Linked DNA regions of Arabidopsis thaliana. The protein of the gene in region 2 purifies or fractionates together with the protein of the main gene of each other region. This does not show direct contact. Each region holds a gene or a part of one and is shown on either strand. Other genes may lie near its edges. The genes, in order: NIG1 and MYB29.

What was found.
Region 1: the proteins of MYB29 (region 2) and NIG1 purify together in Arabidopsis thaliana (affinity purification with a luminescence readout, with the first as the bait; one study listed by BioGRID). This does not show direct contact.

Annotation. Positions count from the first base shown.
Region 1 is NC_003076.8:19,001,003-19,005,161, reverse strand, and holds NIG1 (calcium-binding transcription factor NIG1), read right to left. Parts: upstream 2,599-4,159; 5' UTR 2,444-2,598; coding exon 908-2,443; 3' UTR 778-907; downstream 1-777. Other genes in the region: AT5G46825 (uncharacterized protein), read right to left, coding at 2,663-2,743, 2,879-2,948, 2,983-3,036, 3,101-3,117.
Region 2 is NC_003076.8:2,444,505-2,449,162, forward strand, and holds MYB29 (myb domain protein 29), read left to right. Parts: upstream 1-2,164; 5' UTR 2,165-2,585; coding exon 2,586-2,718; intron 2,719-2,814; coding exon 2,815-2,944; intron 2,945-3,033; coding exon 3,034-3,781; 3' UTR 3,782-4,080; downstream 4,081-4,658. UniProt on the Arabidopsis thaliana protein: Plays a minor rheostat role in aliphatic glucosinolates (GLSs) biosynthesis, mostly short chained. Together with MYB28/HAG1 and MYB76/HAG2, promotes aliphatic glucosinolate biosynthesis but represses indolic glucosinolate biosynthesis.

The DNA.
Region 1 (4,159 bases), about 17 Mb from region 2:
CTACTCTCCATTTTATTTGTTCTTTCTTTTAATGAAGAATATCTCGCTTGTGATGTGTGTTTTGGATTTTGAAACTATATATAATAACAAGATCAGTTTTAAACCTAAGATACATGTATGCTTTAAATTTCTTCTTTGAAAATTAAAAACAAAAGGATAGCAAGAAATGTATTGTCTTACTCACCCACTTAAATTGGGATAGAAAAAATCTAAATTTTTTGATCTTCTTCAACATTTCATTCCAAAAACCCTAATTTTATCTATTAAAGGGTGTGTTTTAAAAAAGGAAAGTTGAAGATTTTTTTAAAAAGATTTTCTTCTAATTTTTATTTTGGTAGTCAAAATAAAATAATTTTAATAAAAACAACCTATCAACAAAAAATAATTTTTATTCAAATCAAATATACCATGTCAATTATAAATTAATTGAGATGGTAAGAGTAAAACTAGAATTTTGCTTTTGTTATTAGATCTTGAGTAAAATTGTAGAAATTAAATTATATGTTTTAATTAAACTATGTATATTTTCCTTCCAACCAAAAAAGTTTGGATATTAAACGTGCAATAATCTTTTTTTGGATTTTTCTCAAAAATATATTCAACCCAAATTTTTACCATTTGGGCTGAAAGTGCAAAATATAAATATTCATCTTTTTCATGTTAGTAAGATGAACAAACAAGAGGAAACAAAAAAAAAAAGAATTCAAGCACCATTTGTGTTTGTGTTCATCTCGTTCATTCCAGGGTTGACCATTTGCAATAAGTCCCCCTAATTTTGGGTCACAAGATTAGAACTGTATATTATCCAAAATCTAATAAAACGGCCATTAACTTATGAGAAAATCAACAAAACTTAATTACACTTTGACCCCATGATTAATTTTCTCAAAACACACCGCAGAAACTCTCAGCTAATTTTCGACATCAACAAATCCCTAAGCTCTTCCTGCTTGTAGATTCTCAACCCCATCTTCACGTTCGCTTGTTGTATCATAAGATCGTTCATCACAGAAATGCTCGCATGATTCACTTCTAACTCCAAATCCATCAAAGCATTCATCAATCTCGCTCCTGGATGATGATCCTTCCTTGATTCAACTCTAACCATTGCATCATCACTTTCCATAATCTTCACTTCGATCTTCATCATCTCTGATGCCTTTTCCTCGTATTTACAAACGCTAGGAATTGCGTTTCGTTGTCCTGCAATCTCCTTGAGTTCATTGAACTGAATCTCAATCGCATGTTTCTCCAATTCAACGTTTTCAGCTTTTGATTTCAGCTCGTTTATGTAACAAACCGCGTCTTCGAGCAACGACGTTTTGTCCATTTTCGATACGTTTGGTACAACCGCTCGTAATGCGTAGAATCTGTGGTTTAGCTTCTCACGTCTCATCCTCTCTGCTTCCACGTGGTTCAAAGGCTTGTCTCTACCATGCGCCGGTTTTCTCCCGCGCTTTTTTCCCTTCTTCTTCTCCAGCATCACCGTCGCGTGAGGGACGACGTTTTGAATCTGATCAGAATAAGTATTAGGGTTCCGATTTTCAAAACTCTGTTTAACATTCTCGCCAAAACTCAGTACATCGCCGCATGGAGCTCTCGCCAATGTGGAAGATGACGTCGAGAAGTTCAAATTATACCGGTTCTGTAGATAAACCGGACTAGGATTCGGGTTACCGGTTACAGTACTTGAACAACTGCTCTCTAACTGAAATGGGAAAAGCTCCGAGTTCGAATTCGGGGCTCCAGAAAAATATTTGGATCCTCCAAAAAGAAACCGGATCCTATTAAAAAGATCCGAATTTGGTCGGATCTCCTCCGTGGATGCAAGCTCCAACACTCCGTTATGTGAAGGAATACACAAGATGGTCTGTAACCCTACATCCCCTCCTTGTTTAGCCCGATCACAACCCGACCCGTAAATCAGATCCGAACCGGTAACCAAAACCGGGTTATAGCTAGCAAACGCCTTACCCGCTAACCCGGATCCGTTACCAAAACTCCACGTCATGGAAACCAAGAAGAACCACTCCATATCCGTCACTTCCACGTCATCGTCATCACTGACGTCGTCTTCAACCACCGGAAACGCTTCGCCGGAGATCATCAAGTTAAGCTCCCGAATAACATTACTCCGACGCTCTTTCTCCTCCGGAGACGACAGAATCGTCTTCTTCCTCCTCAACCTCCCTCGTGTCTTTTCCTCGTTGCCACCAGTGTAAACTCCGTCGCCCCATTTGAGAACTGCTTCACCGGAAAAGTCATCGTACGACGGTTTCCAGAAAATGGCGTAACTCCAGGGCTCGTGGGTTCCATTCAACACAGCATGTAAACGCTTCGGGAGAGTAGTCTCGAGGCTGAGATTCGCCGGAAGTAATGGTGGCGACGGATCGGAGGTCAAGAGAGCTTCGATCATCAATAAGTTATCGTCGGTATTAATCATCGTTGCCGGAGTATTAGAAGTCGTCTCAAGTCTTTGTATTTATATATCTAAACTAAACGAGAAACTATAGAGTATAGAGTGTACTCTTTATTTTGTTTCACACGAGTGCATGAAAATATTACATTTTTCTGTGGTTTTCTTTTCATGAATTTTAACGACCCATGTGCGATAGCTGATGTATCACTATCACCTATCACCAGGTAAAAGGACCACATTTTTCTAGGTAACGGGATTGTTTCGTCGTTGAACAAAATGGATTGAATGAAACACGATTATATGTCGGGAAATTTGCAAAATTGACTAACAAAAAAACTATAATTAAGAAACTAACCAACAACAAAAACAGAGATGATATTTTGTATATAAACTATAATATATACTAAAGTACTCTTATCTACACAATCACCATCTTTTTTATGCTATTACAACCATTACCCTTGCAACCGTCATCATCATCGCATCCACCATTATTTCCACAAATGTCATACCATCATCACCATCACCACTGCAATCGTCACCACCATAGAAACTACCATTACGCTGTCATCTCAACCACCATCACCATTATTGCCGCCGCAATTGACACACGACCACTGCAACCACCAACACAAATATTACTACGACCTACACCATACACACCACCACCACCTTAATCACTTCTTCCTCTCTTCCATTGCTTGTTTCACTTCTCTCGCCTCTTATCTTTTTTTTCTACTTTAACTTAATTAAAACAGAACCGAACTATAGTTTTCTATTTTACTTTCAATTTTGTACCATTCTATTTGCTAGTTAGAACGGAAAAAAATGAAAACGAAGACTCACAAGATCTTATTGAATATTTTCTGGTTTGATCAATATCTAAAATTGAAAATCCCTAACACAAATTTAAACCCAAAATCGAATCGATTTCAATTCGCTTTAGGAAAGGAGAAAAGAGATTAAAAGTATATAAACATGATTTTGTCAGATTTCTAAAAACTGATTCTTGAGATGATTTCATTTAGTTTAATTATTTTTGTTTGGGTTCCATATATAGTATCTTAGGGTTTAGTTTTCTTAAATCAATAGATGTTTTTAAATTAGAATGGATTGATATAAAAAAGTTAAATTTTCTGGAAATTTTTTGTTGGATTGGAGAGAAGAGAAGAAGCAACAAAGAAGATGATGAATGAAAAAGGTCTGTTAAAAAAACATTACCTTTAGATCAATATCTGATTCACAATCCATTACCTTTAGAACATATGGAATATTACCTTTAGATCAATATCTGATCAACAAAACGAAGAAGATGATGAGTCATGGCAAATTGGAAAATAGGGAAATAATGCAGGGATAGACTTGTAATTAGTTAGAGTTTTTGGTTACTTGCTGAATTACGTAAATTATATGGCTATATTCTTAATTTTTGTTCAATTATGGCTATACACCTAGTTCACCCATATATGTTATCACTCTTTCAAAAAAAAAAAAAAAAAAAAAAAATTATCACTCTTTCTTCTTCTTCTTCTTTTTTCTTTTGTTATCACTCTTTAATTCTATATGGATCAGGTTAACAAAACAATGTCAATGGACTTTGTTGCACTGCACTTCCTCATTTTTTTCATTATTACCTATACATTTTGATACTAATATACTCAAAAGTCAAATAACCAATGTTCGATTTCTCCCTTTTAACAATTGGGTTTAACCAAAGTAACGTAAAGAGGCAAAGTTAGC
Region 2 (4,658 bases):
CTTTTTTTTTTTTTTTTTTTTTGAATCAATGTAAAATTTATTCAAAAAAGTCCTTGGTTACAATATATGCAGCTTTAAGCATAACGTTTTTTTGAGTTTCAGAAAATTTTAAAACCAAGGAAAAACAGAGGTATAAAGGATTTCAAAACAGAGCCTTTGTTAGGCTCTCGAGTGGAACCAAACCCGGAGGGCGTCGGCCATGTTTGATGGTTGGAGCTGGTGAATGAAGGAGATTCTACGTACGCCACATAATTTTACCATTTTCAACGATTGCGTTGTTTCCCAAATTATGAATTGGAACTTTGGTAGCATCGCAATATATACGACGTTTGGGTTTGGCCCATGCTGCCATGCATAGCAATAGTTTTAAATACATGTGGTTGGTAATATAGAAAATGGTTTGAAAGACCACAAACTTTGATCAGTGATCGATTCGGTAGGGCCACAAATAACAATGTTTTCGCCACATGGTCATACTTTACGTTTTCGATGAGAAAATATTTAAACAGTTTGTTCGTCAAATTTCGATTAACTAGAACAAAATTCATAAACGAGAGAGACAGAATAATTCGAGAGAGCTAGAGTGAGGGTAACTAGAAAGATAGTAACTGATTTTGTATCTAATAATTAATTCATTAATTTAAAATCAATGATAAATCACTTTGATGGTTGTGGCCTTGTGGGTAATTATAATTAACACGTACCATTTTTTATCAAGGCATTTTTAAACATTTTGTTTGTTTTTATTGAAGTTTTCTTCTCACTATTCAAAAACGTAAAACCCTAACAAAAAAAAGTAAAAGTAGAACTGTTTACAAGTCTGGCTGAATGGGTTGATTGACTCGACAAAAGATTTTCCATGTGGATTAATAGAACAAATTTTAATAATATATACGAAATTGATGTATTTTCTTTTCTTTCGATCACTATTAATGTCTTAAATAATAAAAACATATAGTACATTTTACAGATTATAAATTTATGTTGTGTTTTATTTTGAGTTTTGGCTTGAATTTTTTTTTTTTTTTTGTTGTTGTTGTTAAAGTGGTTTGAATCTGTATTGGTTACAAATAAAACAAATAATGTTACGTTCATTTTGTCTGTAGATATTTTTCTTACAACTTATGCAGCTATCTTTGGGGTTTCATTTTGAGTGTGGATGTTTGGTTTTGAGTTAACTCTGCATGTTCCGAAGAGGCGTAACTAAAATAAAAGAAACTACTTGAGATGCGAGATGTGAAATGTGATTAGATGAGAAAAAACGAACATTAATAATTGAGCAAAATAACTTTATTTAAATTTTGAATTCAGCGTTAGTGTTACACCCAAAGTGGCAAACAAATAGGACCGATGTTGAAAAAGAACACACGTGATATAAAATGTACTGAGAGAAAATTATTTGCATTAGATGACAATAAATACAATAATAATGAATAGATGAAATAACTTTTAGTTGACGAAAAAAAAAAAAAACTTTTAATCTATTTTATTCACTAGATCAAAAAGCATGTTTCAGACAGTTTTATTCTTATCATTCAATTATTTCACAACGTATAATTTTAGTTTATTTTCGTAATTTGTTAATATACGTATCAATTGAATATTTTTGACGGTTTTTATTATGTCATTTAATTATTTAAGGGAACATAGTTTATTTTAAAATGCAGTTCTATTTTACAAAAAAAAAGAAAAAAAAAATTGCAGTTCTACGTTGACATCTAGCTGATCAACTATTCATCATATATACTTGTATAATCTATTATTTTAAGTTCTATATTATTATTAATATGTTAAATATAGATATATCTATTTAAGAAAATATCATATAAATATATGTTATAAATCTATATATAGAAAAAATAAAGCACAGAATTTTGTCCCACATTCTGTCGATACGTACTCGAGCTTATGAAGTTGTTCTTTTCTAATTATATTTTTTCCCATTGCCCTTTATCAAATCAACTCTAATAAAAATATATGGTAACTTATGAAGTTGTCATGTATTTATGATATTTCTCTTTGGGTCGGCACTGTATTTGTGATGTTGATTATTTATCTAGTGGCAGAAAATATTCCATAAGTCTCTCTCAAACCATTTGAATAGTTCCAAAAACATCTTGTCACTAACACTCACTCTTGATGAGTTTTTTTTTTTTTTTTTTGGGGGGTCAAAGTACTCTTGATGATGAGTTGATATTCTTATTTAAAAAAAGCTTATTACTTATTTAAGTTATTTCAAAAAGTACATTCTACACGAGTGCCAGGCTTATATATATGCATAAACATATATAATTATGCATGGAGGAGTAGTAGCTTGCAATGTCTTGAAACTTTGATATATCTTCTCCTAGTCTTTCTTTTAAATGTTTAATATGAAAACACAAAATCCTACAACGGTCGTCTACCACAGTTTCTCAGTCAGTTTCATATTCAGATGCATCAGAGTTCTCATCAAGAGATCTATCAGTCTATTGCCTTAAACTCGACGACATTCTGTTTTTTTTTTCTTTTCTTATTTTTTCTTTTTCTTATTTCTTACCTATAGGTTGTATGTAAATCTATATCAAAAAAAGAAGAAAAACAAGATGTCAAGAAAGCCATGTTGTGTGGGAGAAGGACTGAAGAAAGGAGCATGGACTGCCGAAGAAGACAAGAAACTCATCTCTTACATTCATGAACACGGTGAAGGAGGCTGGCGTGACATTCCCCAAAAAGCTGGTATATATGTGCTTTATTATTATGTATATATTTTAAAACACTTTTTACATATATATAACTATAATTGTTGTTTTTATGACAAATGATGGTGTTTAGGACTAAAACGATGTGGAAAGAGTTGTAGATTGCGATGGGCTAACTATTTGAAACCTGACATCAAGAGAGGAGAGTTTAGCTATGAGGAGGAACAGATTATCATCATGCTACACGCTTCTCGCGGCAACAAGTAAAATCCTAGCTTGCCGAAATCCATATAAATAAGGGTATATATAATTAACACATTATTAAAGTTTATATATATGTTTTACTTAAAAGGTGGTCAGTCATAGCGAGACATTTGCCCAAAAGAACAGATAACGAGATTAAGAACTACTGGAACACGCATCTCAAAAAGCTCCTGATCGATAAGGGAATCGATCCCGTGACCCACAAGCCACTTGCCTATGACTCAAACCCGGATGAGCAATCGCAATCGGGTTCCATCTCTCCAAAGTCTCTTCCTCCTTCAAGCTCCAAAAATGTACCGGAGATAACCAGCAGTGACGAGACACCGAAATATGATGCTTCCTTGAGCTCCAAGAAACGTTGTTTTAAGAGATCGAGTTCTACATCAAAACTGTTAAACAAAGTTGCAGCTAGGGCTTCTTCCATGGGAACTATACTAGGCGCCTCCATCGAAGGAACCTTGATCAGCTCTACACCGTTGTCTTCATGTCTAAATGATGACTTTTCTGAAACAAGTCAATTTCAGATGGAAGAATTTGATCCATTCTATCAGTCATCTGAACACATAATTGATCATATGAAAGAAGATATCAGCATCAACAATTCCGAATACGATTTCTCGCAGTTTCTCGAGCAGTTTAGTAACAACGAAGGGGAAGAAGCTGACAATACTGGAGGAGGATATAACCAAGATCTTCTTATGTCTGATGTCTCATCAACAAGCGTTGATGAAGACGAGATGATGCAAAACATAACTGGTTGGTCAAATTATCTCCTTGACCATTCCGATTTCAATTATGACACGAGCCAAGATTACGACGACAAGAACTTCATATGATCCGTTGATTGCTTACCGGACTAGAGTTGACCGGTTAATGTCATATGGTTCTCTTAGATATTTGTCAAGTTATAGTAAAGGTCCACTATAGGGTCACTATATATTAATATTCAGTAATGGATTCTCTTAGTTAGAGAACCTTGTGATGCCGTGGATCAATTAGTATTTGATTTGCGGGAGACACGAGTTTTTTTTCCTTCTATTGTTGTTTGTGGATTTACGTACTATAAATAATAAATAAAACACCCATTTGATTGCAAGCGTTCACTGTACTAAAACCATTTGATTTAAAGTTTGAGCCTTAGTTTGTCTGACAGTCTGAGCCATGTTACCAAAAACAATGAAAAATATGTAACACATTTTAGGTTTTTGGTGATATGAAACTCCGAAGAAACAAATCCCTACTGACTACTGAGAAAGTCGATAAGCTTTTTTGTGGATAAGTTTCATGGATATATTAGAAGTAGTAACCATTAACCAACAAAAAAATAGCTTAAGTGAGTTATCAAGGGATCGATGAACAATTATGAGATCCAATGTGTTTTTGTTAAGAGGCAAAATCCGATGCAGTCTCTATGAGACAAAATTTCCATGGGAAAAACAGAGAGTTCTGAAGTCTCTCTACCTTAAACATGTGCAAGCCTTAGCTTCAAATGCTCCGTAAGGTTTTCATTTAAAAACATGAAATAAGATAGAGAAATGATACTTGATCCAACTGATGAAGATTAACAAGATAATTTTGAAGCAACTTCTGTTTGTATAATATGTCGTACAAAATCTGCTACCAATTTAGAGGCCAAATTATTTTCTTTTCTAGACAGTTTGTGAGGTGGGCAGCTGAAGGTGTTTAAGCCAAGATTCTCAAGATTTATAAATC